Linked DNA regions of Arabidopsis thaliana. The protein of the gene in region 1 interacts with the protein of each later gene in a pairwise test. Each region holds a gene or a part of one and is shown on either strand. Other genes may lie near its edges. The genes, in order: TED3 and DSK2.

What was found.
Region 2: the proteins of TED3 (region 1) and DSK2 interact in binary tests that used the Arabidopsis thaliana proteins (3 or more experiments, as listed by UniProt).

Annotation. Positions count from the first base shown.
Region 1 is NC_003070.9:30,014,191-30,028,926, reverse strand, and holds TED3 (Pex2/Pex12 N-terminal domain-containing protein / zinc finger (C3HC4-type RING finger) family protein), read right to left. Parts: upstream 9,184-14,736; 5' UTR 8,984-9,183; coding exon 8,894-8,983; exon of another isoform or gene 8,890-8,893; intron 8,822-8,889; coding exon 8,708-8,821; intron 8,635-8,707; coding exon 8,475-8,634; intron 8,399-8,474; coding exon 8,262-8,398; intron 8,162-8,261; coding exon 8,061-8,161; intron 7,846-8,060; coding exon 7,728-7,845; exon of another isoform or gene 7,268-7,727; coding exon 7,101-7,267; intron 6,886-7,100; coding exon 6,771-6,885; 3' UTR 6,441-6,770; downstream 1-6,440. Other genes in the region: GC5 (golgin Putative 5), read left to right, coding at 1-19, 308-367, 454-567, 656-730, 809-817; SGB1 (Major facilitator superfamily protein), read left to right, coding at 2,156-2,261, 2,509-2,620, 2,894-2,961, 3,068-3,200, 3,617-3,716, 4,098-4,210, 4,606-4,699, 4,793-4,946 and 5 more; ENODL7 (early nodulin-like protein 7), read right to left, coding at 9,710-10,083, 10,174-10,378; FHY1 (Haloacid dehalogenase-like hydrolase (HAD) superfamily protein), read left to right, coding at 10,741-10,955, 11,022-11,097, 11,163-11,214, 11,295-11,555, 11,655-11,742, 11,820-11,940; AT1G79780 (Uncharacterized protein family (UPF0497)), read right to left, coding at 12,071-12,286, 12,358-12,493, 12,786-12,997; AT1G79770 (CASP-like protein (DUF1677)), read right to left, coding at 14,053-14,556. UniProt on the Arabidopsis thaliana protein: E3 ubiquitin-protein ligase component of a retrotranslocation channel required for peroxisome organization by mediating export of the PEX5 receptor from peroxisomes to the cytosol, thereby promoting PEX5 recycling.
Region 2 is NC_003071.7:7,477,078-7,492,602, reverse strand, and holds DSK2 (ubiquitin family protein), read left to right. Parts: upstream 1-7,362; 5' UTR 7,363-7,512; coding exon 7,513-7,741; intron 7,742-7,853; coding exon 7,854-8,618; intron 8,619-8,912; coding exon 8,913-9,145; intron 9,146-9,221; coding exon 9,222-9,335; intron 9,336-9,515; coding exon 9,516-9,568; intron 9,569-9,960; coding exon 9,961-9,989; intron 9,990-10,161; coding exon 10,162-10,245; intron 10,246-10,321; coding exon 10,322-10,470; 3' UTR 10,471-10,722; downstream 10,723-15,525. Other genes in the region: Kin3 (Protein kinase superfamily protein), read left to right, coding at 2,835-2,910, 3,225-3,559, 3,660-3,795, 3,883-4,025, 4,107-4,230, 4,307-4,737; AT2G17210 (Tetratricopeptide repeat (TPR)-like superfamily protein), read left to right, coding at 4,995-7,205; AT2G17190 (ubiquitin family protein), read left to right, coding at 11,242-11,470, 11,848-12,594, 12,890-13,092, 13,177-13,290, 13,393-13,448, 13,838-13,866, 14,011-14,100, 14,183-14,331; DAZ1 (C2H2-like zinc finger protein), read left to right, coding at 14,956-15,525. UniProt on the Arabidopsis thaliana protein: Binds and presumably selects ubiquitin-conjugates for destruction. Prefers multiubiquitin chains rather than single ubiquitins, with a binding affinity for 'Lys-48'-linked ubiquitin chains.

The DNA.
Region 1 (14,736 bases):
TTCATACATGACCCGCTTGGTAGGTGTAGAAAATATCCAACTGGGACATTTTTGTGTAACTCTGTTGGTAGGCTTTTGGCAATTGGCTTAGTAATGGGATTGAGGTTGACATCAGTCCTTACAATGGGACACTATGGGTGTTTGGATCATGTTGAGAAATTATTGGTTAGTTGCACACCGTGGTTAGCCTTCTTTTATAAGCTGGTTTAGAAGGTTTAGCTCTACTCGTCGAGGTAGTATAGGCTGGTTGTTAGTATCATCGTTATCTGTAGAATCTAACTGTAAGAGTCTATTTGCCTTTGGACAGGCATCAATGGAGTCTATCCGAGATTCCCTGGCTGAAGAACTAGTCAAAATGACAGCAGAGGTATGTATAGCGCTGAGAGTTTAGAGTTGATATTATGCTCAGTGTTATGATGATATTTCGTCTATATCTGGTAACTGTGGATGTAGTGTGAGAAGCTACGGGGGGAGGCAGATAGGGTCCCGGGCATAAAGGCAGAGCTGGAAGCACTAAGGCAAAGACACGCGGCTGCTCTGGAATTGATGGGTGAACGAGATGAGGAGGTAAGATATGTGAATAAAATAGTAGTGTATCCAGCATTAACAACAGTAGTTGGCATTGAGTTAATAAAAAAGTGGGTTTGGGTGGTAGTTGGAGGAACTTCGAGCGGATATAGTGGACTTGAAGGAGATGTACAGGGAGCAAGTGAACATGCTGGTGAACAAGGTAAGGCAAACAGACACAAGTGGAGTCAAAGTGTTGACAAACTCAGGCTAATGGGTTTGTGCAATTTTGGGTTTGCAGATCCAATGAGGGGCAAGGGAAGATGGTGTTGGCAAGCTCAGGCTCACGAGTAGGACCACCTAATCCTTGTTTCCCCAATATTGTATAGCTCTATAAGCTACCAACCTAAGCCCACTATATTCATTTGTCGTTTTGTCTCTCAGGTGTTGGTTGAACTTGAGGCTTTTTAAAACAAACTTTTGCTGCTCGAAAGAAGATTTTTCTTACAGTGAATTCGATCGTAAATTATTATTTTGGAGACGAGAATAAACTTTTGTCTGTGTGACTTATCTACGTATGTAACATGTATTGTCTGTGTAGTAGAAAAACGGTGGAGAGACCCATTAATAATGGGATTCGTTGATGTAGCAATCCATCCATATAGGAAAACTGTGTGACTCGAATGGACCCGAATGAGATATCAAAATCACAGAAATGATAGATAAAGAAAATAAAGAACAAAAAGGCCTCCGGCCCTCTTGTAAATGTTAATAAAAGCCCAAAGGCCCAAAATAGCTCTGCAATGGCTTCTCCTGTAATGAATAGTTGTAGGCTGGTTTCAGCATCAATCAATAGTCATAAAGCAGGGGAGGGATCCTTTCATCAAAAGTCTTGTACTCTTGTACATACAGCATTACTGAATTCATATATAAATGTCATTATTTCATTGGTACTAGAGTATAGTTTGCTGAGTTCCATGAAAAGAACGGTAGAGGCGAGAGCAGGTGATTAAAACCCATCCCCTGTGAACGGAGTGAGTGTAGGTGTAGCCATAAAGTTGTCGTCGCTCCTCTGTAAAAGTTTCTTCTATTCGACGATTCCTCTCGACGTTATCATATTTCCTCTCCAGGTTGGTACTATCATCATCCTTGTTCTCTTTGTTTGCATCCCTCCTTCCTTCCTTGCTTCCTTGTAGATCTGCCATTGCCTTTTTTAATCCAAATCTTATATTTCTGATTTACATTGCTTCCGTCAGATCCGACGATCTCACTTTCTCATCATCTGTCGTCAGCTTTTTTGTTTCTTCTTTTATCTCTTTTTATTTTTAAAATAAATATATTGTTGATTCTGGAATTTTCCTAGTAGCTCACGTCACGTTACGTCATGTGTGTGCTTTGAATTTTAAATTGACTCGCAAGGCTGGTTTTGATTATGTGTAAGTGATCGCTGGACTTCACACACACTAACAAGTAGCACTTGAATGAAGCTTTCCTTTAATGGATTGATTATTTAATAAATTGCGACTTTGACGTCTTTGAGCATCCATCCATGTTGAAGAATCCCATTATTCGTATGCTTTTCTTCTATGGCCTTGCATCAGTCAGCACTCAACTTGTTTGAATGTGCAGGAGCGTGTTTCCAGAGGGGATGGATTCTGTTCGACGCACTTACACCATTATGCGAGGTCGTCACATAGACAAGCGTGTTCCTTCTAAAGAGTTTCTCTCTGCTTTGGATAAAGCTGAAACTGCAGGTTTTTTGTACCCACCCTCATAATAGTCATGATTTTACTCTATTGCCTACTTTTTGGTGCACACGGACAGTGTTATATATTTTAAAGACCACTTCTGATCTTTTTATTGTATTTGCTCATCAACTCTATATTGCTTGTTTGTGTTTTAGACATAGCATTGTACCTAGATATACCACTTTTTTCTTGTTGCCTCAATATCTTGAAACTTCTTCTGCATAGACTGACTCTTGACTTTTCTCAACTCCAGTACGTCTTCCTACTGGGACGGGAAAAGACTGCGGGAATCCTTCCTGGAAGCGATCTCTGCCTCACGTGCTCGTTGCTTCTCTGACTTCGCTTTTATTCGGCTATCATCTCGGGTCTCTCCTTGTGACATTTGTTCTCCCTTTTTCCTTTTTTCTTTTTCATCTTTGCATTTATAGACCAAACATGGAAATTTACTTCTCATGATGCTAGGCTATTATCTTTTTCTTTCGTAAGCTTATTTTTCAGGCTCAAGTTGTATTTCTTCTCGATGCATTGTTTTTCTTGGAGCACTCGATAACATTATCTATTTGCCTCAATGACTCAGTTTTTTATAAATGTATATGTCTGGGAATAATAGCAAATTCATGCCTCTTTTCTGGACACAGGGTTGTTAATGAAACTCTCGAAAGCATATCAATTGACCTTGGCTTTAGTGGGAACACCATAGCTGAAGGTACCTTACCTATCCAAGAAGACAACTTACTTGTTTTTCTGTTTATCCAGTCTTTGTGTCTATCTCCCGTCTGATCATTCCAAAAACCTTTTTCTGATGGATGAAGGTCTTGTGGTTAGCACCTGCTTAGGCGGCGCCTTTATTGGGTCTCTGTTCAGTGGGTTGGTAGCTGATGGTGTTGGGCGCCGTAGAGCTTTCCAGTTGAGCGCTTTACCAATGATTGTTGGAGCTTCTGTGAGGTGATGTTTTGTTCAGGTTAATTGGGGGTTTAGGCTGTTCAGTTCACATGACTAAGTACTTGTTTCAGGTTCTTATGGTATGATATATATTTTTGGTTGAATGTCTATGTGGGCACTTGAACATTTCAGATTCGAATCTTTGCCTGTTGATTTGCTGAACCTGTGGTCTAGGCTAGTCATTATGCAGTTGGATTATCTCGTAGTGATTTCCTGCTTGGATGTTTATAGTTATAGCGTGGTGATTTTAACATATTTGGCCTCATTTGAACATATTTGGTCTCAAGTCATTGCCATGGTGATTTTCACTTATCCCAAGGTGTACTCACTAGTTAGGTTAATTCATCCTGTTTCTCTTTTAGCCAGAGTCCATTTATGTAATCATGAAATCTGTGTGCTTACAAGTGTGTTGTTTGCAGTGCATCAACTGAGAGTCTTATGGGCATGCTCCTGGGAAGGTTTTTGGTCGGAATTGGGATGGGCATAGGTCCTTCTGTTACAGCTCTCTATGTCACTGAGGTACTTGACATATACGTTGAAGTCTTTCTTATCTGCACTTGTTTTGATAGGATTGCTACATGAAATTTCTTCCTCACTTTTGATGTGAATATTACTTGGCGTATATTATTTTAATTATGTCAAAAGATGTTTGGAGTCAATGTAAATAGATGTCTATTTCAGACATAAAAAGACTTGAACTTGGAACCATTAACATGCAGAAGGTCATTGACGCACATAATTTTCATTGTAATAAGGACTTCAATCTTGAAAGCTATATTCGCATTATTGGATTTATTTAATGTGAAAAAGAAGGTTCTGGGCACACAAATATCACTAACTCGCTTTGTCAATACATCTTACATTCATACTTAGAGCAAGACTCACAGTTTCTCTTTGCAGGTGTCACCTGCTTATGTGAGAGGTACATATGGGAGTTCTACCCAAATCGCAACATGTATTGGACTCTTAGGTTCGCTGTTTGCTGGAATCCCGGCAAAAGATAACTTGGGCTGGTAAGATGTTGATAAGAACTCAAGGAATAGATGACTTAACAGCTTATATGGCCTGTAACTCTTCGAGGTTGAAATTATTGCAACTCTGTGCCATCTGTGACTTCCAAACGCATGGTAGTTCACCCTTTTTGCTTGCTTTAGGTGGCATGTTTGATCCCCGTTGTCTATTCCAAACCCACCTATATGCAATGTGAATCTCTAGTGCCTTGTTAAAATGCTGCAACTCTATAGGAACCACCTCATCTTTTGCTGCAAATTCATTAGTGATTTTGACATGAGAACCGCCTTTGTAGGGAAAGAAATCCTGGAGTTTCTAAGCTACTAGCAGATCACATGCTTTGGTCTACTTGGCTGAATTACTAGTTGAATAGGTTTCTCTTTCTTGATTGGTGTAGGTGGCGCATATGTTTTTGGATATCCACAGTCCCAGCTGCAATGCTTGCTGTCTTCATGGAACTCTGCGTGGAAAGTCCTCAGTGGCTTTTTAAGGTTACTGTCTAATTTTAACCCGCATAGCTCTTAAAGACGTTTTGATTTTTATAAACCATTTCTTTGGTTGATTCTTTTTCTGTTTAACCGTAGAGGGGAAGGGCAGCTGAAGCTGAAGCTGTGTTTGAGAAGCTATTGGGAGGGTCGTACGTCAAAGCTGCTATGGCAGAGTTAGTGAAGTCGGATAGGGGAGATGACGCCGATTCAGCCAAATTGTCGGAGTTGCTTTTTGGACGCAGTTTTAGAGGTATGTGTGATCTTTAACCAACAAGATTGGTGAAAATGTGTGGCATTAGTTCGATGTCAAATATCACGGAAATATTAGATCTAGATTTTTATTCATCAAAAAGTTGAATCATTTGCACGGAAGGTATGTTAGGTGGCTAAACTGGATCCATAGCCAAAAAAATGACATTTTCATTTGCCAAAAACATACATATAGATGATGTGTAGCCTCTTAATTACCTTCATTTTTACGTTTAAATTTTCTCCGATTGCAGTGGTTTTCATTGGATCTACCCTTTTTGCTTTACAACAGTTGTCTGGGATAAATGCTGTGTTCTATTTCTCATCAACTGTCTTCAAGAAAGCTGGTGTACCTTCAGCCTCTGCAAACATATGTGTAGGAGTTTGCAACCTCTTAGGTATTGAAATGTGACTTTTTCTTGTACATTCTACTATGGCTTGAAAGGCCATCATATTCATGATAAGCTAGATAAGCAAGTAGGTGAATGCAGTCTTCCTGAATACAAACACAACATTAGGAACAGTAAACTAATCACTGGTTTAAGTGAACAACCTTCCTCTTACCACAAAGATGATGATCTGAAATCTTTCCTTTCAACATGTTGATGATCTGTATTTAAAACGAATGTGAGCATCATTCATACTCTTGTACAGGATCAACTGTTGCTGTGGTTTTGATGGATAAGCTGGGGAGAAAAGTGTTGCTTATTGGGAGTTTTGCGGGCATGGTAATTGTTGAGGCAAAAAGTGCTATTTGAATCAAACTTTACGCAGCTAATATTTAATAACGCTCCATGTATGTAGATGTAAATGTTTATCATCTTTAACAGGCAGTATCGCTGGGTCTCCAAGCAATAGCATATACTTCGCTTCCTTCGCCCTTTGGAACCTTGTTTCTCTCGGTTGGAGGAATGCTGCTGTAAGTTTTCTATCACAACAACAGCACTGGAAAAGGGGGATGTTTTATTTTGATAAACTAGGGGTGTGATTACGAATGCAGGTTTGTGTTGTCGTTTGCAACTGGAGCGGGTCCTGTTCCAAGTCTTCTCCTGTCTGAGATATGCCCTGGTCGACTTCGAGCAACTGCGTTGGCTGTTTGTCTTGCCGTTCACTGGGTATGCCTTTTTTTTTTTTTTTTTTTCTCTTTGTGGACTTTTTTAGGAAATCGATAATGTTGAAATAATAATAAGCTTGGAGAATTACACGCTACAACAGGTTATAAACTTCTTTGTCGGGCTGCTGTTTCTGAGAATGCTGGAGCAACTAGGTTCGGTGCTTCTAAATGCAATATTTGGGTTCTTCTGTGTGGTGGCAGTCATCTTTGTGCAGAAGAACGTGGTTGAGACTAAAGGAAAGAGCCTACAAGAGATAGAAATCAGTCTGCTCTCTTCCACCCAGTGATTGATCTCTTTATTCTGAGAATTCGTATTATTCTTCTGGCTCTCTTTTTTTCCTTGGAGAGACACAAGTAACGTGTACCTAATATGGAAGTAGGAGTGAGTAGTAAGTAGGTAAACAACATGTAAGGAAATGGATATTATTCATTCGAGTATAGCCAACGTTTCAACTGATTTTGTAATAAACATAAGACCAAACTTCATTCAACAATGGTAGGTTCTCAACTCATGTACAGAAGTGCACCTATCTAATTTTTTTGTTGCATCACATTCATGATGTTCCCTTATTGTATAGTCTGTCTGCAAACAAACACCTATCAGATTCTTCTCTGCTTTCGGCTGCTTGCCTTGGCTTTTTACACTTCCACTATTGCATCTGCTTATTCTTCAAGACTTGGTGGCATGACTCAACAATTTGTCACCTCCATTCATTTGCCACTTGAAACACCTTCCCGTTGTATGGCAACCACAGGCTCGTTACATCTAAGACACCGGAACGATGCTGCTGAAGCGCAGCGGGTCCTTATGCAGTAGTAACAGTACCTGCGACAAGTCAATTCTTTTAAATGTATGTAACAACTACAGCACATACTATGAATTCAACAAGTCAATAAAATCACTTCTGTGTCTTCTCCAAAGTCAGATACACAATCATGTGAAATTTTTTGCTTCTAGTACAATCAGTTATAGTACATGTCTGGGGAGAGAGTTAACTACTTTATTCTGATCCAAAACTTTTGCACAGAAAAATACCATACCTGTGCTGACAAGGCAGAGCTATAAACGGAATTGCAGGATCCACTTGGCAAATAGGGCAAGTCACTGTATCCTCTTTAGTGCTTGAGGACTTGTCCTTGGCAAATGGACTAAGAATATTCTTAACAGCTGAAGAGTTGAGCAGCGGGAGAAGCAACAAAAGCATTTCCTGAATATCACCAAACAAATTTAAAGCTGAATGCCAAAACAGAACCAGGAAATCAGATCCTAACATTACGTTTCTGGTAGCAAGTCTAAACAGAATGTTTTGATCTATTGAAGGATCTGAAAGAGAGAAAAAGCGACAAATACAGTGTTTTGAACATAGACAAGGTATTTGTACTCCAATGAAACTGTTGAGTCACAGGATCTACATAGTTCAGAATTCCAGATACGGACACAATATGTTTTCAGCTTTTAACAGCTCAAGTTCAAGCAGCAAAAGTGTTTCTTCCAAAGAAAAAGTGAAGGTAAGCTGATAGATACTATCATTCAAGAAAATGTTCGAGACCAGCAAGTATCAATCATAGGCCAGAAACCATCAGCCAAGGATGCTACTCAGAACTGACAGGTTGCCAAACTTTTAAATTGATGTTGAACTAGTTAAGCAACACACAGAGAAGACCTACCGAAAATTCATTCCACACAAGTTGCCGATTCATGTACTCGAAGCTGACAGATCGGTTCATATGGGGACTCCTATAGACAAGCCTAGCTTTTAAAGCTTTTTCAATGAGGTTCCTATACCTGGATCAAGAAAGAAAAAGAAGAGTAGCGGAAGTGAGAATCATCAAGGTATTTCTGTTTGTGATTTTGGTTCTTGTTTCGATATTTCACTGTGAACTCAAAAGTTACCAATGAACTGAATCAGATTTTAAATGGTCATAAGAAGTAACTGCACTGCAGTGTGGTTTTATCAGGATAAGTAGAGGAAATGAAAGAGTCCATGTACCAAGTTGTACCTTCCCGTATAAAGAAATGACAATAGGTTAAGAAAAGAAGCAGCTTTGTAGATGCCTTCGATTCGTTGTACGAGGGTCCAAAGTCGCCTTGCCAATGGTCTCTACAAGTCAAAACAAGGAGAAAAGAATCAACCATAGCGATGGCGTGAGGATGACTGCAAACGGGAGAAAAAAAGAATAAACCATGCTCCTCATACAGACCTGCTCAGAATCACCCCATCTACGGAAAGCAGAAAATGACTGCAAACGGGAGAAGAGGTACTGACCACCAACGGAGGCAACGCAGTACCAAATCTTTTGGGGAGAAGTAAGTCCGGGTCCTTCCAGTCCTGTTCTGACTATACGAGAGTACAAGAGTGATTAGAAAAAAAGGGTGACAGAAGAAGAGTGTTTAGAAAATAAAATAAAAAATACCTTTCCCCAAGTGCTGAGCAACGACTCCTCGTTCATCTCTGTATCTAAGATTCATGAGAGCGTTTCCGGGGGTGGGTTTGTCAACCCAAATAGAGAATCTCCAAATGAGAAACTCAAGGAAAGCATCAAGCTCTGGTTCGTATTGAAAGAGCATTCCTGGCTAATAAAATGCCAAAGAAAGTAAATGGCTTAATAAAATGCCAAGGAAAGCATCAAGTTAGCTCTCTGCTCACCTTCATCAGAGTGAAAACCTTAACGAGCTGTTCCTTCAACATGGCTGACATTTCCACATCTAGTCGTGCTGCGTCGAACTGATTCACTCTAGAGATTGCAACCGGTATAACTGACTGCCATCAAAGACCACATATAATAAGCAAACAAGCCACGACACAAACAAGCATCCCTGAGACAGAACCTACCCGGCGGGAAGCGAGAAGAGACTGCGATTCAGGAAGCAAGCGCTGGTAAGAGCGGATCCAAGCATCGTCTGCAGGCGTAGACGGCGTCATTGGCGGTGTAGCAGGGCTAGGGTTTGTAATTCCGGCGATAGACAACAAGGCAAAGTTGTTTATTGATGAAGCCCGACGAGGGTCTTACCGTCTTTTCCAATCTACAGCTACGTTGTTTGTTTTCTCTCTTTGTCTCACACTCACACCCACAGAGATTCATCCATGTCTCCTCCTTTCTTCTTCTTCTTTCAAAATTGTTTAGTCTTCTTGATTCACCACTTTTATCAGATTATTATTTTGTCTTAAAAGGCTCATATGGTATTAAAGACCCATATCACCAAAAATAGGCCCATAGCAATAAAAAGGCCCATATCTGTTACAAACTCTAGGGCCCGGTTCTATTAGTACTAACGACATAAAATTATCCTTATTGATGATCTCTTAACATTACTCTTAGTTAAGAGATATGTCTTATATCTAACAAAATTGTATTAAAGTCTCTTATTTATGAGACTTTGTTAATTATAAGCTATTATAAGACTGTCTCTTAACTTAAGAATTGTTTTAAGAAACTATTAATAACGATGCTCTTGTGTAGTTTGTTGATAGATTTTTTATTTTTTTTCCACAGTTTGTTGATTGATTTGTTTTGAACAGTGAAAAGTAAAACTTATAATAAATGTCAGAGAAGAACATAAATTGGATTATACCATAAGGGTTCGATGAATGAAACAAAAAGATGAAGAAAAGTAAAAGAGGAGAAGAACTATAAGGGAAACAATTTGACTAATAAGAAATGAAACGAAAGCTAGCAATGGTTAAGAAAAGAGGAATAAGAAGACAAGCCGTAGGCAGGGAGGAGGCAGCAGAAGATGCGGATGCGGATGCGTAGGGAGAGGCAGAATTAGAAAGAGGCGACATGGATGGAGGCATGGAAGCGTCATGGTCATGGTGTTGGTGGATATGCATGACTTCTACGATGAGACGCTGGCCGCTGGTGCAGTGCTGGTTGGAGCCGCTGATGAAGTAGAAGAGACCAGGACGATCAAGGTCGAATGTGCTGTTTCCATTGTCAAAGGCTGTAATGGGATCGCTGCCGTTGCAGTGGTAGAAACCCCATTTGTCTACCTCCATCACCGAGTCCTTGTCGTACACAAACGCTGACATATTTTTGATTAGAAACCAATCAATTATTACCGATCATGAATGATAAAAAAAAGAAAACACAAGTTGGGAACAAGCTAGCTCACAGAGTGAATCACCGATGTGGAAGCGGTTGCTGCTGGCCCAGTGGCTGTAAACCGCTGAATCATTCTGGAGTGGGACTCTCCACCCGAACTCGTCTCCAACCTTGAAATCCCTAGGACCTTCCGCCGCCATGGAAGCCACCACAAGGGCACAAATGCAGAGCATTAGTGTTAGATTACAAGTAGATCTCATCATCATCATCATCATCTTCTTGTTCTTTTGTAAGTATATAGTATGTTTGAGAGGAATTCGTACGTAGCTTTGATGGTTGTGTGTAAAAATGAAGGTGGCTGGCTCTGCTTTATATAAACAAGGAGAAGGAAAGTGGCGGTTGAGCTCTCCGAGGCCGAGGAGTCGTGGAGATGAATTTGAAACGGTTTTTATTTAATTCATTCATTCTCCTTCGTGCTGCAAGTCATGGGCCACTTCTTCTTCACCACGTCATCCTAATTACTGACGTGGACCAATCACCTTCTCCTCTGCGATTTTCTCTCTAAACGCTGCGTTTCGACTCCCCTGTTGTCATTTACAAATGATGATGATCGGAACTAGAAACTAGGTAGTTTCTGATGGCGGCGGCGGCGATGCACACATCGGCGGAATTCATCAATCTGAAACCCAACATGTGGAAGAAGAATCCTGTTCGGGCCTCGGGTTCTTGCTGTCTGGGCAGCAGCAGTGGTGATGAAATCTCTCGGAAAAGGAAGCTTCCGATTCTCCTCTTCGACGTCATGGACACCATCGTCCGTGACCCCTTTTACCAGGACGTTCCGGCCTTCTTCGGGTGAGAAAGTGAAATCCTCGAATTTATTTCTCGATTCATCAATGATAAACTGAGGTTGTGGATCAGAATGCCAATGAAGCAACTACTAGAGTGCAAGCACCCGATGGTCTGGATCGAATTTGAAAAGGGTTTGATTGATGAGGTGAGGTACCACCACTCTTTCTTTCTTTTTTTCTTCATATTATCTCCTCTGACTTTTGGTTTTAGGAGGAGCTTGCTAGAAACTTCTTTATAGATGGGAGGGATTTTGATTTGGAAGGTGAGATTGCCATATAGATAGATAGGTAAATACACAGAGAGAGGGTTTCCTCGTACCTATTTCAATCCTCTTTATTGCAGGGCTTAAGGAGTGCATGAGGTCAGGTTACTCCTACTTAGATGGCATGCAAGAGCTCCTTCAAACTTTGGCAGCTGACGACTTCGAGATTCATGCTTTCACTAACTATCCCATCTGGTTTCCATCCCTTGCCTTTCACTCTTTGAAACGGAGCTTCATGTCTCTTTGTTTACTCTTGTCGTGTTTCCATAGGTACAACATTATCGAAGACAAGTTAAAGCTTTCTGCCTACTTATCATGGACGTTTTGCTCCTGTATTGCTGGTACATCACACATCTCTTGCCTCTTTTTACTACTTATTGCTTGTCAGATCCAAACCATTCCTACTACATACAAAGCTCCTCATGTGTTATATCTTTCAGGGAAGAGAAAGCCTGATCCAGAGTTCTACCTCGAGGTTGTGGGACACCTCGGAGTTGAACCTTGCGACTGTATATTCATTGATGACAGGTTATAACATGAACTCAATGCCTTTATAACTTAAAAGAAAGAAACCATTTTGATCTGAAGGAGTGTCTGATACGCAGGCCAACCAACGTCAAGTGTGCTATAGAGATAGGGATGGGTGGGTTATGCTTTGAGAATGCAGATTCGCTCGCTAAGGATCTCTCAGATCTAGGGATCAACGTCTCTGTACCCAAATTATGATTGTAATTTCATCACAACGCATCATCTTAAATGTATTGCATCAGAGAAATACTCAAAAGAGAAATACATTGTTTTTGGGATTGCAAGTAGAGTCTTTGTTGGATTATATAAAGCAGCGAAAATATTGAGACTAGGGAGTGGAGAGCACAAGGACAGTAAAGAAGGAAGAGGAAGCGAGGAAGATGAAGGAGAGGAAGACTAAGAGGAGAGACAGGGCGACATGATTGCAGAAAGAAGAAAGGGTCTTGCAGAAGTCGGGGAGAGGAGTGTGCCTGATGCCGGTTTTGTTGAGGTTGGTAACTCCGGAACCGGCTGATCCAGCGCTCATCATCAAATAACAAAAGAGCTGCGTGCACACAGTAAATCAAATGGGTTACATTCGGAAGAAAAGGGAATGGAGAAAAGGAGACGAGGAACCTGATCGGAGGTGAAGCAAAGCCAAGCTTGGAAGCGGGAAGGCGTGATGGGAGATCCGGTGACGAGTCTGTAAACACCGAGGCAGAGCTGTAACAGGGAGTAGAGCACGGTCCCTGCGCATGCCCCCACCACATACCTTAACACCAAACAACTCTTTCTTAGTGAGATGAATGAAATATACACTATATATAATCACAAAGTTTAAAACTAGCTAGGACACACAATAATGTCATGTTGTTGTTTGGTTCACGGATGTGTTTCTGTTCACCGGAATATCTGTCATCCGAACACACACATTCTGTTTTGCTGCTTTTCTTTTATTATAATATATATATATGCATTCAGATAAAAAGAAAATTCTAATTGCTATGTCTGTCCCTAATTATAATGCTCGTAAGAAGAAGAAGACGAAGAAGAAGAAGACTGACTGGTAGGAGGGAGAGAAAGACCAGTTGGAGGAGAGAGTGAGCTTGAAGCCGTAGATGTCTGCCACTCCCTCCTCAGTAGCGGTCAGCATCACCGCCATGGCCGTGGCTGAAGCAGCCAAACAACCTCCCCTGAGAGCCACCTGCACTAGCTCCTTAATTCCCTTCCTCCTCCTCTTCGCCACCACCTCTCCCCCTTCTCCATTACTCGTCATTCGAACCCTTTCTACGTTGTTTGTTTGTGTGATATGCTCCTGCTTTTTTATTTTTATAAAACTCACACACAAACTCACTCCTTCATTCTTTATACCACAACAAGTACTCTCTTTTTCTCCTCCACCTTTTCCGTGTTGCTGCTTCCTCCTGTTTCGCTCTCTCTTTTTTTTATACGACTTTGTATTTCTTTCTTTTATAACAAAAAAAGACGAAAGTTGTGAATCAAGCCTAGCTCATTCCTTTCTTATATATTTATTTATATGTAATTTAAAAAATGGGATGGAAAAATAAACATCTCTATTGGGGGACTTGTCTATCTCTATGTACATGAGCAGGTACAATCAGCGTGCCTCATGTTCTCTGCTTATTAAGACGCAAATGCCAAAGAACCCGATTTGAATGATATTTGTATTTACTTTCTCATATGTTTCACATTCTCCTCCTTATAACATCAATTAATATTTGTATGTACGTGGACGATAGGTTAATTAGATTTTTGAGATGTGATAGTGTTATAACTAATACTACAACAACTGAGAGAAGAGAAATTTGAGGAGTCACAAACTTAAATCTATATATCCGGAATTCAACGGAGACAGAATTTAAAGGAAAGGGGATACAGCCAAAGAAAAGTTGACACGTGTCGTCATAACAGATATACGAATAGGTCGTCCACTCGGCCGGGTGGTAAACTAGCGGTTATATATGATGAGTTCACCTGAATAAGAGATTTGCAAGAATGGACCCATCATTGATCATCCCATCCCACATCCATTCTATTCCTCTGAATTGAAAATTTATAGCGAAAAAACAAATCTATATAGACAGTTCATGATCCCTTCATTTCTATAGAAAAAAGTATCTGGTTCCTTTGGATTGAAAGAAACGAAAATACATAGGAATTAAATACAACTTATATTACGCTTGACCAGGATATCTGGATCAGTTTTATTAATTAGTACTGTAGTATATATATATATATGAGTGTTTAGAGTACTAGTAGCTATAGCTAGCTAGGGACTAAATTAAACGTTAAGATATTAGAAGAGACAAATTAATTAAGGTCCCTGGTGATGGCAGGAATACAGCTTGAAGTACGGGAAATGGCGGGCTTAGGGATAATAGACTGACCCCTCGTGCTTCTCCGGAGCATATCTCTCATGGCATCAGCTTGGAAGAGAGCCGGATACTCCCTCCCGAGCTTGTTGAACCTGAGGCAGGCGCTCATGTGCTCCTTCAAGGCCCCTTCTAGCCCTTCCTCTTCCCTCTTATCCCTCTCCTCCTTCACCGCCTCTGAGCACAGTCCGCATATCCACTTCCCAAAGAACTTCTCCCTCACCCTCTCTATGTACTCCATCGTGCACTCCTCCCTCATCCCGCAGCACTCGCACTTTGCCTTCTCTACCTCCACTATCGTCCCCAGTCCTTTCTCTTCTTCTCTGTGATAATCCAGCGATATGTCTGACAGGGACCTATGCAGTGACTTTTTCCCTACCTTTGGCGGGGGCGGCTTCACCAAGCTTCCGCTCACGCTCTTCCTTCTCCCGTTTGCTGCCATATCCAATCTTCTTTTTTTCACCTAGAGCGTCTGCGCTAAGCTTTGGTATTTATAAGCGGTGCTGTCTGTGTTGACATATTCATGTGTATTGTGTGGTTCAGCATTGCCATCTCACGTACGTGCTCACGCTATAGCGACCTAGCTCTTTACTTACTCTTTGTTTTACTTTTCACAACAATA
Region 2 (15,525 bases), on another chromosome or scaffold:
AATTACTACTGCTAATTGGACATGTACCATGAGACTAAAAATACACACAAAAAAAACTTTAATTATTTGTTTCCTCCCTATACACAGATATATGTTTTATTTTTCTTCTAACACATGCACAAGAGCACATCAACTTTTAATTTTATTTATTTTAAATTGTTCCATCCACAAACTATATTGATGATGGTTCTTTGACTGACGCATTACGCGTGAAATGGTTTCCTTGCTTATATTATTGTAGTCGTGTTCATATTATTTTAATGATGCTCATATGATTTGTTTGCATCCTGAAAAATCTTAACACGTTTGTTTTCTATGTTATTATTTTTCCTGGCCAGCTTTTCGTATGTTGTTCATTTACAAGAATACTACATACTGTATACACGTACTCAATCTACCTCTTTTGGATATATTTTTTGTGGTACGCCATTCTACACTTCCGAATCAATAATAATAAAAATTAATCTCCACAAATGATTTCTTCACAAATTGGAGTTAATTATATGGAGATAGATATCCCTCTCTTTACAAATTGACAATTTTACCTTCATGCACTCTAAATATATAGGCACTCTTCCTGGGAGAGTTACAAAGTAAATCCTAAATCGAATGGATTAAACAAAAACAAAAAAGATCAAAATTATAAAAACCTGATTCTTTTCAAATTTGTGTCCAATTAAGTGTTTATTTAAACCATAATTCCTATTTCTTTTATACAAGATAAATTATCGTAAGATTACTGATCTGCTTTTTTCTCTTTGCCTCTGCTTGATAATTTCAATGAGTTTAGGGTTTTGTTATCAAAGTTTTCGTTTATTTTTGAAATTAGTTAGAGGTTCTTTCCAAAGATCATTAATTTACAAGGTTTATACCGGACAATGCCTCCCCGACTAATAGATTTACCTGCACTATATACACACGACAAACATTTTTAATTGGACACATAATCACACAAAAAAATTACTAGATGAAAAAATTAAACACTTAATCAACTATTAGACTACAATTTTTACTTTTTCTATGACCATTTAATATTCTAATTTCACTCATTTGTTGATTTTAAAACTATATCTTCATAAAAAATGGACTATATATCTTGTTTGATGAAATATGTTGTTTATATATAAAAGTTTCAAAAACTAACTAATTTGTGAGCTAGGGTGAAGGACATGGTACTCCAAAGATTGTACAATTTCTTTGTGTTCTTGAAAAGGTTATTACATAACGATAAATATAGCTAGAAAGATATTCAACTAAAAATTGGAATATAAGAGAAAACATAAAGATAATAGAAAATGATTGGTGAATGAAGAATTATGCAGGGTTCTACAAGAAGAAAACAAAAAAAAAAGGCATAATGAAGTAAAAGTGTTTGAATCTTTAGAGTAGTAAAAATAATCTCAATTTGCAAACGTTTGGAATAATAACTTTTCTGGAAAATCTCCAAGTTAGTAATAAAATTGTTTGAATCTTGTGTTGGTGTTTGTAGAATTATCATCAAAATCAAGCTGCTTGAACCTTAGGGGTTACTCCTTCACTTCGTTTTATTGGTTACTGTCTCCATTTGCATTGCGATGTTTTCTTCTCGTTTTTACTACTATTACTACGGTTTATGACGCGCCTGAACTCATCTTCACCATCTCCTATAGTACCATTTATGAATTCAAGTGATAATCGATGACTCAAGTTTTCAATGGTGAATCAATTTTTTTTTGAGATCTTTCTCTTGAGTATCTTTCTATTCACATCAAAATCCACTATTTAATACGCCAACATCACGTCTAATGAACTTGACAATTATTTCTTTATTTTGTTTTGTTTGTATGTAACCAAAATATTCAGTTTTGGATTTTGACACAATAATTTACCAAAAAATGCCGTGAAAAAGAATTCTAAAAACAGATTAATAGTTTTTAACACAAAAAGAGCTATTTACTTTTATTTAATTGGACATTTATCCATCTTTCATTTTTTTAAATTTTATATAAAGAAAATACATGGATATCAATCATAAAATCATCAACCAAGATTGAAAATGGTAATTATCATTTAGTTTTATAGAAAATTATATCTGTGTAAGCAACCCTGAATATTAATTGAGTTTACATGATAAAAAATATAGCTTTTGAACAATTATTTTAACAACAGTAAATATTAATTTGCTATCTTAAATTATAGTATAAAAGTGAAATTAATTATTTAAAACTATAATCTAAACATATTTATAATCCAACCGTATAGAGACTTGTTGAAAAGTAAAATAAAGTTTTCAAATGAAGAAAATACAGAGGATAATTGTAGGGGCCTTGATTGTTTTCTCTTTATTTGGTGGTCTCATGTAAATTATTTTTCTTTATAGTTGACTTTGACCTTTAAAACCTCTATAATTCTCTCTTTCCTTATTCTTCCTCAAATCTTTGCACCACCATTCTTTTATGACTCAGTCTTCTCTCTCTCTTCTCTCAATGCCCATGATAACACCAAACCACTTGCTTCTGCTTCTCACACCACAAAATTCTCTATTCAATAAATAAATCTCTCAGAAGAAATTTCTTCGAATTGGAGAAGATAAAAAAAGTTTTATCTTTTCTTGATTTTTTTTCTTTTTTTTCTAATCATTCACACCCAATTTAAACGAGACTTGTCCAATCTCTATCCATCAATATTGTATCATTTCTTGTAAAGTACTCTGTTTTAGCTTCACACGCCATTTTTTGTTTTTCCATTTGACTTCTGTAAAATCCTGACAAAGAATTGTTTAAGACATACATATACGTGTTATATATTTGTAAAGGAAGCAAAAAGTGTTTGGCTTTTAATTTCTCTCTGTTGGGATGGGTCTTTGTTGGGGATCTCCATCTGATTCTCCTCCAACAACAACACCTTCCTCTACTGGTAACATCAGTTCAGGTTTGTCCTATCTATATCTACTGAATTTTCCCATCTGGGTTTTGCTTAAACTTGCGTGATACGTTGCAATTTCTGTACTTGGTTGTTTGATGCATAAAGGTTACGCTTTTACATCTTCTTGTATCGTTTGTGACTCTTCTTTTGGTGTTATCTCGTATGGGTTCTATGAAAGTTTTGACCTTTTGATTAAAAGACTCTGTTCTTCTTGTGTTTTTGTTGAATCAGATTCATTATCATACTTAATGCTGTTTGTGATCTGTTATGTGACTCTCTGTTTTGGGCTTGACTTTGTTTTCTTGTGGTTGTAATTGAAGTAGGGACTTTTAAGTCATCAAACAACACGACGACTACAGGAACATCAAGGGGAAGTAACATATCTAGCAATAGTGGGTTCTCTGTGGCAAGTGGTGAAGATGCTTACCCCGATGGTCAGATACTTCCCATTCCGAATTTGAGGATATTCAGCTTAGCAGAACTTAGAGCTTCAACAAGGAATTTCAGGTCTGAGAATGTTCTTGGAGAGGGAGGATTTGGGAAAGTCTTTAAAGGCTGGCTTGAAGACAAGACTCCAGGGAAACAAAGCAACGGAACTGTGATTGCTGTTAAGAAACTGAATGCAGAAAGCTTCCAAGGATTCGAAGAATGGCAAGTGAGTAAAGTGAACTATGGGAAACTAGTTTTCTAACTTTGATATACAAAGTGAAGTTTTGTTTGCTGAGTGGATAGATTCTTTGTTGGTTGTTGTGCAGTGTGAAGTGAATTTTCTTGGGAGGGTTTCTCATCCAAACCTCGTGAAGCTGTTGGGATACTGCTTGGAAGGTGAAGAGTTGCTTCTTGTGTATGAGTATATGCAAAAAGGGAGCTTAGAGAATCATCTCTTCCGAAGTAAGAACATTCTTTAATCAGAATCTTTTGCTTATATGCACATTTACATCTCGATGTTTCGATGTGTAATTGCTTCTATTACTTCAGAGGGGTCTGCCGTTCAGCCACTCTCATGGGAGATAAGGCTTAAGATTGCAATAGGAGCAGCTAAAGGCTTAGCATTCTTACACGCTTCAGAGAAGCAAGTAATTTATCGAGACTTCAAAGCGTCAAACATTCTACTTGATGGGGTAAGTACATACAGATTGCTTATGGATTTGATGTAGCAAATCATCAAGTGTGAAATTTCAACTGGTTTGCTCTTGATGCAGTCATATAACGCAAAGATATCAGATTTTGGATTGGCGAAATTAGGACCTTCCGCTAGTCAATCTCACATCACAACACGGGTTATGGGTACACACGGTTACGCAGCTCCAGAGTATGTTGCTACAGGTACTACAATGTTTTGTATTCTTAGTTCTTTTGGTTTCCAACAACAAACTGTGAACATGTTTGTTGGTTCCAACAGGTCACTTGTATGTAAAGAGCGATGTTTACGGGTTTGGCGTTGTTTTGGCTGAGATCTTAACTGGTTTACATGCGCTTGATCCTACTCGTCCTACCGGGCAACACAATCTAACCGAATGGATCAAACCTCATCTATCCGAAAGAAGAAAGCTAAGAAGCATAATGGACCCTCGTCTAGAAGGAAAATACCCTTTCAAATCTGCTTTCCGAGTAGCTCAACTGGCTCTGAAATGCCTTGGACCCGAACCCAAAAACCGTCCATCGATGAAAGAAGTGGTGGAATCGCTCGAACTCATCGAAGCTGCCAATGAGAAACCGTTAGAACGAAGGACCACTAGAGCTTCCCCATCCATCCGTCAACAACAAGGCCATTATCGCCCGCAACAACTCTCTTCGTTTCGTCCTAGACAAAACGTGTCTCGAGCTCACTAGTGTTGTTTGAAGACACTGAGATTCTTTTCTTAGTTTTGTATTTGTTAAGATTATCAAAACCCATTCGTATGTATACTACATGAAAGAGAAAACAAATGTTGTACCTGTATTAGTATGTAGTGTTTGGTGTGTGTAATATAACTACTTAAACGGTTAAACCAGATTATGAAAAGGTTTAACTAATGGTCATCAATATATAAGCCATTGTTCACACAATTTTGTTGTTAAAGCTTCAAACTTTAGTTGTGGTTTGAAGTATGGTAATGGGATCACACTTGTGTTCAAAGCTACAAGCTTTGTCTTCGAAGATTAAGCAAGCTTCTGTTAGTGGAAAATGGCGGGAAGTGGTCTCTGGGTATTCAGAGATACAGAGAGCTGGAGTTCAATTTAACGATCCTTTCGTTTTCCCCATTGTTTTTAAAGCTTGTGCTAAGCTCTCATGGCTGTTTCAAGGTAGATGTATTCAAGCAAGTCTGTTAAAGAGAGGTTTTGAGTCTTTTGTTTCTGTAGGGAACTCAATTGCTGATTTCTATATGAAATGTGGAGACTTGTGTTCTGGGTTACGAGAATTTGATTGTATGAATTCGAGAGATTCGGTGTCTTGGAATGTTATCGTTTTTGGGCTTCTCGATTATGGTTTTGAAGAAGAAGGGTTATGGTGGTTTTCGAAGTTGAGAGTTTGGGGTTTTGAGCCTAATACTTCAACATTGGTTCTTGTGATTCATGCGTGTCGTAGTTTATGGTTCGATGGAGAGAAGATTCATGGCTATGTGATCCGTAGTGGGTTTTGTGGGATTTCGTCTGTTCAAAATTCGATCTTGTGTATGTACGCAGATAGTGATTCTTTAAGTGCACGTAAACTGTTCGATGAAATGTCTGAAAGAGATGTTATTTCTTGGAGTGTTGTAATCCGAAGTTATGTGCAGAGCAAGGAACCTGTTGTTGGATTGAAGTTGTTTAAAGAGATGGTTCATGAGGCGAAAACAGAGCCTGATTGTGTGACTGTGACAAGTGTTCTCAAGGCTTGCACGGTGATGGAGGACATTGATGTTGGAAGATCAGTTCATGGGTTTTCGATACGGAGAGGTTTTGATTTGGCAGATGTGTTTGTTTGCAATTCACTTATTGATATGTATTCAAAAGGATTTGATGTTGATTCAGCATTTAGAGTATTTGATGAGACCACTTGTCGAAACATTGTTTCATGGAATTCGATTTTGGCTGGGTTTGTACATAATCAAAGGTACGATGAGGCTCTTGAGATGTTTCATTTGATGGTGCAAGAGGCGGTCGAAGTGGATGAAGTTACAGTCGTGAGTCTTCTCCGGGTTTGCAAGTTTTTTGAGCAGCCATTGCCTTGCAAGTCAATACATGGTGTAATAATTCGGCGTGGATATGAGTCAAACGAAGTGGCTTTGAGTTCTTTGATTGATGCGTATACAAGCTGCAGTCTTGTTGATGATGCAGGAACCGTGCTTGATTCGATGACGTACAAGGATGTGGTGTCATGTAGCACAATGATCTCTGGATTAGCCCATGCTGGCCGATCCGATGAAGCAATCTCAATCTTCTGTCACATGAGGGATACGCCCAATGCTATCACCGTCATAAGTCTTCTTAACGCATGCTCAGTTTCAGCGGACTTGAGAACTTCCAAATGGGCACATGGGATTGCTATCCGGAGAAGCTTAGCCATCAATGACATCTCAGTTGGTACCTCTATTGTTGACGCATACGCAAAATGTGGTGCCATAGAAATGGCGAGAAGGACTTTCGATCAAATCACTGAGAAAAACATCATCTCTTGGACCGTGATCATTTCAGCATATGCTATTAATGGTCTACCGGATAAAGCATTAGCATTGTTCGATGAAATGAAACAAAAAGGTTACACACCAAACGCTGTGACATATCTGGCAGCTTTATCAGCTTGTAATCATGGAGGATTGGTAAAGAAAGGTCTCATGATCTTCAAATCAATGGTAGAAGAAGATCACAAACCTTCATTGCAACATTACTCTTGCATTGTAGACATGCTTAGCCGAGCTGGAGAGATTGATACGGCTGTGGAACTTATCAAGAATCTTCCAGAAGATGTTAAAGCAGGGGCTAGTGCTTGGGGAGCGATTCTTAGCGGTTGCAGAAACCGTTTTAAAAAATTGATCATTACCTCAGAGGTAGTAGCTGAGGTTCTTGAACTCGAGCCCTTGTGTTCTTCAGGTTACTTGCTTGCGTCAAGCACATTTGCTGCAGAAAAATCATGGGAAGATGTAGCAATGATGAGGAGGTTGGTGAAGGAGAGAAAGGTTCGGGTCGTTGCGGGTTATAGCATGGTTCGTGAAGGAAACTTGGCAAAGAGGTTTTTGGCTGGAGACAAGTTAAGCCAGAGTGATTCTGAATTAAATGATGTCGTTCAGAGTCTTCATAGATGCATGAAGTTAGACGATACTGCAGGACCGATAAACTAAAGCCCTTTGGGCCTCAACGAAGCAGATAAATGATATTATTATACGATGCCGTATGTATTCTCGGATCCGGGTGAGAAAAGGAACGAACCGGGTTTTGTTTTTGACCCGACCCGGTCCCTTCGATCCGTTCTCTGAAGCAGAAGTCTTCTTGTTTTGTTCTCTTCGATCCATTTCGTCAAGCAATCTACCGAACCGACTCAGAGCTTTTGAGTCTTCTAAATCTCTATCGAATTTTTCTAGGGTTAGGGCTCCTGATCGATTTCGCGAGCTCTGCGATTATTTTAAGTATTAGGATCCGAAATTAGAAATGGGTGGAGAGGGAGATTCAAGTCAGCCGCAGAGTGGTGAAGGAGAAGCTGTGGCTGTGAACATCAGGTGCTCTAATGGCACGAAATTTAGTGTGAAGACGAGTCTCGATTCAACGGTGGAGTCTTTCAAAGAGTTGGTGGCTCAGAGCAGCGATGTTCCAGCTAATCAGCAGCGCTTGATTTACAAGGGTCGTATCCTCAAGGACGATCAAACTCTCCTCAGCTATGGTAATCTTCATCGTTTCTGATTTATTCGTGTGGGTACTTTTGTTGTTCTCGTAGATCCTTATTGATTGAAATTCTTGTGGATTCTATTCTCTGTGGAACATGTTATACCTAGGTTTGCAGGCTGATCACACCATTCATATGGTTAGAGGCTCTGCACCTTCTTCAGCACCACCTCCTGCTCCGGCCGCAAGCCAAACCACTGCACCTAGTGTTACTCGAGGGGTTGGTTCAGATAATAGCTCGAATCTAGGAGGAGCGAGTCCTGGGGAATCTTTGTTCCCTGGGCTTGGATTTAATCCTCTGGGTGGTGGAAATGCTATGTCTGGGTTATTTGGAGCTGGTCTTCCGGATCTTGTGCAGACACAGCAACAACTAGCTCAAAACCCTAACATGATTAGAGATATGATGAATACTCCAGCCATCCAGAACCTTATGAACAACCCAGAGTTTATGAGGAGTATGATTATGAATAACCCTCAAATGCGTGAGCTTGTAGATCGCAATCCTGAGCTTGGTCATGTGCTCAATGACCCAAGCATCCTTCGTCAAACTCTAGAAGCGGCAAGAAACCCAGAGCTTATGCGTGAAATGATGCGGAATACTGATAGGGCTATGAGTAATATTGAGTCTATGCCTGAGGGATTTAACATGCTTAGGCGTATGTATGAAAATGTCCAGGAACCGTTAATGAATGCTACCACTATGTCCGGGAATGCTGGAAACAATACAGGCTCCAATCCATTTGCTGCTCTGTTGGGAAACCAGGGGGTCACTACGCAAGGAAGTGATGCTTCTAATAATTCTTCGACACCAAATGCTGGAACGGGGACTATTCCGAATGCAAATCCACTTCCTAATCCTTGGGGTGCTACAGGTGGTAAGTAACTGCATTTTCATCTTCTAATCTCCTGTCGATTTTATTTGTCTTTTGAAGGATGCAGTAATATTTTATAAATGAAAAAGTGGCTTGTTTATAAGAAATGGACGTTACTGTTCACTGCTCTGCTTCAGGAACAATATTGTGTATAGTAAATTGGTGAGTTAGTGTAGTTACCACAATTTGTTGTTATGTGTAGTTTTTGCATATGATTTTCTTGGCTTATTGTTTCTAATTTAACATTTACTCATAATACACTAAATATAATTGAACATATTGTGGGCTACTTGACAGGTCAGACAACTGCCCCTGGAAGGACAAATGTTGGTGGGGATGCGAGGAGCCCTGGACTTGGTGGCCTTGGTGGTCTTGGAAGCCTTGGAGGCCTTGGTGGACTCGGTATGCTTGGAGCGGATTCACCTCTTGGTGCGACTCCAGATGCTTCTCAATTGAGCCAGTTATTGCAAAACCCAGCCATATCGCAGATGATGCAAAGCGTATTTTCCAATCCACAATACATGAATCAGGTAGGCCTAGAATGATCTGAACTTAAGAGCCTTTTACCATTGTGAACATATATTAATTGTTTTCCCTTGATTCCAGCTTATGAGTCTTAACCCACAACTCCGAAGCATGCTAGATTCGAATCCTCAGTTGAGGGAAATGATGCAGAACCCAGATTTCCTTCGTCAGTTTAGTTCTCCGGAGATGATGCAGGTTAGTTTGTCCCCTATTGTCTGTATGCATATGAATTTTTAACATGGTAGTCTCTCAAAAGAAACATTTCTTTGTATCTAAGCTATTTTCAAGTAAAGAAGTTTCTTTTCTTTTTTTTTTTTGGGACAAAGTAAAGAAGTTTCTTAAACCTAATGTTTTCTATTGTTTTTTGGTCTTCAGCAAATGATGACTCTACAGCAATCACTATCTCAGAATAGAAATACAGCCAGCCAGTAAGTTTTGTTAAAACCCTTCGTTGTTTGGATTTGCTTAAACAAAGTTGAGCATTTACATGTCCTTTACATATTGTTTTTTGGGTTGTTTAGTGTTTAGACAATGTTGTAACTAGCTAAAAAGATTGGTTGTGAACGATCTCTATAATAAGAAAAGGATTGAACCATGACTAATGCAGCAACTCTTGTATGATTTACTGGGCTGATCACTAGTAACATCTATCAAAGAGGCTATAAATAAAGCATTTTAATCGTTGGAATACACTTGAATAGGGCTCATAACATTTTGTTTGTTTTTGATTATGCCTTTTAGCATAAGCTATGTGTGTTAATCTCCATATTTTGATTTTCATCAATCCGCATTCATGTTCCCAAATCTATCTTCTCTGTAGGGATGCGGGGCAAACTGGTGCTGCCACAGGTACTCTTAAAGATATTATATGTATTTATTCTACAGTAGTATAAAGGGTTTAGTTATGTTACGTAGTATAGCAGCTACTCTTTAGTTCTCTTTGCTTTCATGTATGTTTTATTTTAGCAGATATTGTATCGTATACAAGTTAATAGTAGAATGACAATACTGATGGGGACAGGAAATAACGGGGGGCTGGATTTATTGATGAATATGTTTGGCAGTCTTGGTGCTGGCGGCCTGAGTGGCACGAACCAATCCAATGGTTAGAGACTACAAATTTTTTTTAGCTTACGCATCTGTTGTGATGGTTCCACTGAAACTTGTCTGTTTGATTCCAGTTCCTCCTGAAGAGCGGTACGCTACTCAATTGCAACAGTTGCAGGAAATGGGATTCTATGACAGAGCAGAGAACATTAGGGCGTTGCTTGCAACCAATGGTAACGTTAACGCTGCTGTAGAACGACTCTTGGGGAGTATCGGACAGTAGCATACAGGTTCATGAACTGATGTCTCTCCATCTGGCTTCTCAGTTATAGAATAAACAGCTTGAATGTGTGTTTTTCAGTAATGATATATTCATCGAATTCATAAAAATTTATATATGATAGGATCGTGAACTTTGTTGATAGAAAAGCCGCATCAATACGGTATTTGTTATCAGTGGTCACTCTTCGTCTTTAACTACCCTTAAACCTATATATCTTGGGTGTTTATCTTTGATAACTTATTTCAAGTTGTTACAACATACAACATCTGTAAATGTTTATAGACATCAAAGTGAAATTGAACCCATTAAATTTTTGGTTCCTTCTGATCCGGTTCAAAGGTTAAACCAAATTGCCCAAAGAGAGAAGTGGCATGTTGCAAAGGAATATCCAATTAGTTGATTCATCATCTTCAATTAGATTCAAGTTACAGCCAATTCCTTCCTGAACTATATACCAAATGCCTCAATTTAGACCCGACCCGGCCCAATCTTACCCAGTAAGAGTCGTCGATACGTTCTCTGAAGCGCAAGTCATTTCTGGATTCTCATTTAATTGGCCGTTCGGGGCCAAATAACTCTTTAATTTTCTGCAGTCTCATTTGTTATTCGACCAAAAATAATTTATATCCCTTTCCTCAAGAAATCTTCAGAACCGACTTATTAGAGCTTCGAGTCTCCTCAAATCTTCTTCTACGATTTTTTCTTCTAGGTTTAGAGCTTTTGATTCTCCGATCAATTTCGCGATTTGTTGAACTAGGATCTGAAATTAGAATGGGTGGTGAAGCAGATTCGAGGCAGCCGCTGACTGCTGAAGGCGTAGCTGTTGCCGTGAACGTCAGATGCTCCAATGGCACGAAATTTAGTGTGACGACGAGCCTCGATTCCACGGTGGAGTCTTTCAAAGAGTTAATTGCGCAGAACAGCGATGTGCCGGCAAATCAGCAGCGTTTGATTTACAAGGGACGTATCCTCAAAGACGATCAGACTCTCCTCAGCTATGGTAATTTTCTGATCATTTCGTGTTTCATTTCTGTTGTTCCGTTGCTTTAATTTGACTGAAAATCTCATAGGGTTTCTAGGGGGTTGGAACATTGGATTTATGTTAGGTTTTTACAGAAGCATGGATGATTTTATGAGTTTTGATGTATGCTTAATCCTTCTATGGGAAGAATAAGGAGATGTAGTTAGTGATACGATAATTGATTCATACCATTCTTAGAGTTCCTAATGTTCTCATGATCATGTATCTTCTTGGGATGTATATTTTCTCCATCAATGGCTGTTGTTGATATGATTGTGTTGGATAGTTTCCACGTTTTATTGTTTTGCATCATGAGCCTCAATGTTTCCTTTCTCTGTGGACCATTTTATATATAGGTTTGCAGGCTGATCACACCGTTCATATGGTTCGAGGTTTTGTGCCTTCTTCTCCTTCTGCTCCCGCTGCAAATGCTGGAAACCAAACCACTGCTCCTCAAGCGGTTGGTTCAAATGATAGCTCAAACCTCGGAGGAGGTGAATCTTTGTTCCCTGGCCTTGGATTTAATCCTTTGGGTGGTGGAAATGCTATGGCTGGATTATTTGGATCTGGTCTTCCTGATCTTGAGCAGGCACAGCAACAACTAGCTCAGAACCCTAACATGATTAGAGAGATGATGAATACTCCAGCCATCCAGAATCTTATGAACAACCCAGAATTTATGAGGAGTATGATTATGAATAACCCTCAAATGCGTGAGCTTGTAGATCGCAATCCTGAGCTTGGTCATGTGCTCAATGACCCAAGCATCCTTCGTCAAACTCTAGAAGCGGCGAGAAACCCAGAGCTTATGCGTGAAATGATGAGAAATACTGATAGGGCTATGAGTAATATTGAGTCTATGCCTGAGGGATTTAACATGCTTAGGCGTATGTATGAAAATGTCCAGGAACCGTTAATGAATGCTACCACTATGTCCGAGAATGCTGGAAACAATACGAGCTCTAATCCATTTGCTGCTCTTCTGGGAAACCAGGGGGTTACTACACAAGGAAGCGATACTTCTAATAATATTTCGGCACCGAATGCTGAAACGGGTACACCTAATGCAAATCCACTTCCTAATCCTTGGGGTGCCACGGCTGGTAAGAAACTGTATTCTCATCCTCTTAATTTCATATGGGATTTTACTTGTAGTTTAAGGTTGAAATATTAAATATAAAAGCAAGAGTGGCTTGTTTTTAAGAAGTGAAAGTTTATGTTTACCACACTGGTCAGGAATAGTATTGATTATAGTAATAATTGGTGAGTTCATGTTCTCACAGTTTGTTGTTATGACTAGTTTGTCTATGAATAAGTTTCTTGGCTGTTTGTTTCTAGTTTAACTGTTACTCGTAATGCACTAAAGATTTTAGAACATATTGTGGGGCTACTTGACAGGCCAGACAACTGCCCCTGGAAGGACAAATGCTGGACTTGGTGGTCTTGGTGGGCTTGGAGGCCTTGGTGGACTCGGTATGCTGGGAGCGGACTCACCTCTTGGTGCGACTCCAGATGCTTCTCAATTGAGCCAAATACTGCAAAACCCCGCTATGTCGCAGATGATGCAAAGCGTACTTTCCAATCCACAGTACATGAATCAGGTAGCGCCTTCAGTAATCTGAATTTTAGACATTGTAGCTATTGTGAGGCTGTCTTTAATATTTTAATATTTCCTTCATTTCCAGCTTATGAGTCTTAACCCACAACTCCGAAGCATGCTAGATATGAATCCTCAGTTGAGGGAAATGATGCAGAACCCTGATTTCCTTCGCCAGTTTAGCTCTCCCGAGATGATGCAGGTTAGTTGGGCCCATGTTGTCTCTCCAGATAATTATTTTTATATCATTCAGTAGTCAAATTTCTCCGACCTAATGTTTTCTATTGTTTTTTGGTCTTTTTAGCAAATGATGTCTCTACAACAATCACTTTTCTCTCAGAATAGGAACACGGCTGGCCAGTAAGTTTGGATACCCTTTTCTGTTTTCTTTAGTTGGAACATTAGTTGAGTAGGTAATGTCCTTTATATATCATAATAGGATTTTGGGTTGATCTGTGTTTAGAAAATAGTGTCACTAGCTAACCAGGTAATTCTCTCGGTGGTGAACTATCTTATATTAAGTAATAAATGGGTTGAATCATTAGTAATGCAGCAACTCTTGTATGTTTTACTGGGCTGATCATTAGTGACCTTTATCAACGGCTGTAAAGTATTTTAGTCCTTGAAATAAACTTGAATAGGAGCATAAAAATTTTCGTTCTTTTTTGGTTCTTTCCTTTAACATTTGATATCAGTGATCTTGATTTCCATCAACCTCTATTCATGTTCCCAATCCATCTTCTTTGTAGGGATCCTACGCAAACTGGTGCTGCGACAGGTACTATATTATCTGTAATTGAAGTATGAAGGCTTCAACTAGTTCACTTAGACAGTGTGCTTTTTTTTGTTCTTTTGCTTTACTTTAATCGTATATTCATTACGTTGCTTATTGAGTAAATCACTACTATGGAAATATTTATAGGGACAGCCAATAACGGAGGACTAGATTTATTGATGAATATGTTTGGCAGCCTTGGTGCTGGCGGCCTAAGTGGCACAAACCAACCCAATGGTTAGATTCACTAGGGGCTATACTTTGATTTCTTATATATCTATTGAGATGGTTCCACTGAAACATGTCTATTTGATTCCAGTTCCTCCTGAAGAGCGATTTGCGACTCAGTTGCAACAGTTGCAAGAAATGGGATTCTACGACAGAGCAGAGAACATAAGGGCTTTGCTTGCAACCAATGGTAACGTTAACGCTGCTGTAGAACGACTCTTGGGGAGTATTGGCCAGTAACATACAGGTTCGTGAACTGATATCACTCCACTCTGGCTTCTCAATTATAGAATAAACAATGTGTTTTCTTTCAGTAATCTAATTTATGGAATTCGTATAACTACATTTATGATAGGATCGCGAACTTGTGGATAGAAAAGCCGCTCATCGATACACTATTTGTTTTCAATGGTCATCTTCTTTCCTCTTTACCCAATCCCCACAACCTTTTTTACATACTTTGGGTCGTCTGTTATCTTTCAGATTCTATTTGAAGTTGTTACCTCGTACATCTGTAGAAGTTGATTTCGAAATGTGGAATGGTTACATTTACGTTTTCTTATCTCCATTTTACTTATTAAATATAGCTGTAGTGACGTTGATAATTTGTGATTGAGCGTTAAGTTTTTCATTCGAATAACAAAGATAAATACAATAATAATTGAAAGAAAAACAAAACTTATGAGGAAAACAAAAAAAGAAATGTAAATCCGACAAAACAGGGAGAAGTAACTGCTAAGAAACCGTCGATGAAAACTAACTTGTTCTTCTTCTACTTAACCAACCATAACTCCCACTCTTCTACTTTTTTTTTTCCTCTCTTTTAGTTTTTCTGTCTTCTCTCTAGTAAGAGACTCAATAATAATGTCGAACACTTCAAACTCCGATCCCAATTCCGATATCCCATTTGCTTCCTCCAATGTAACTCTTCCTAGTTACAATCAAAACCCAAGAAGAAAACGTACTAAACTCACCAACAACGAAGTCGGTTCTTCTTCGTCTTCTCCAAGGCCTAAACCGGTCACGCAACCGGACCCTGATGCTTCACAAATCGCACGACCATGTACTGAATGTGGTAAACAATTCGGGTCACTGAAGGCACTCTTTGGACACATGAGATGTCACCCTGAACGTCAGTGGCGTGGCATCAACCCTCCTTCTAACTTCAAACGTAGGATCAACTCAAACGCTGCGTCATCATCCTCGAGTTGGGATCCATCTGAGGAAGAGCATAACATAGCCTCCTGTTTACTAATGATGGCTAATGGTGATGTCCCAACCCGTTCAAGTGAAGTTGAGGAACGGTTTGAGTGTGATGGTTGTAAGAAAGTGTTTGGGTCACATCAAGCGTTAGGCGGACATAGAGCAACACATAAAGACGTCAAAGGATGTTTCGCCAATAAAAACATAACCGAAGATCCTCCTCCTCCACCT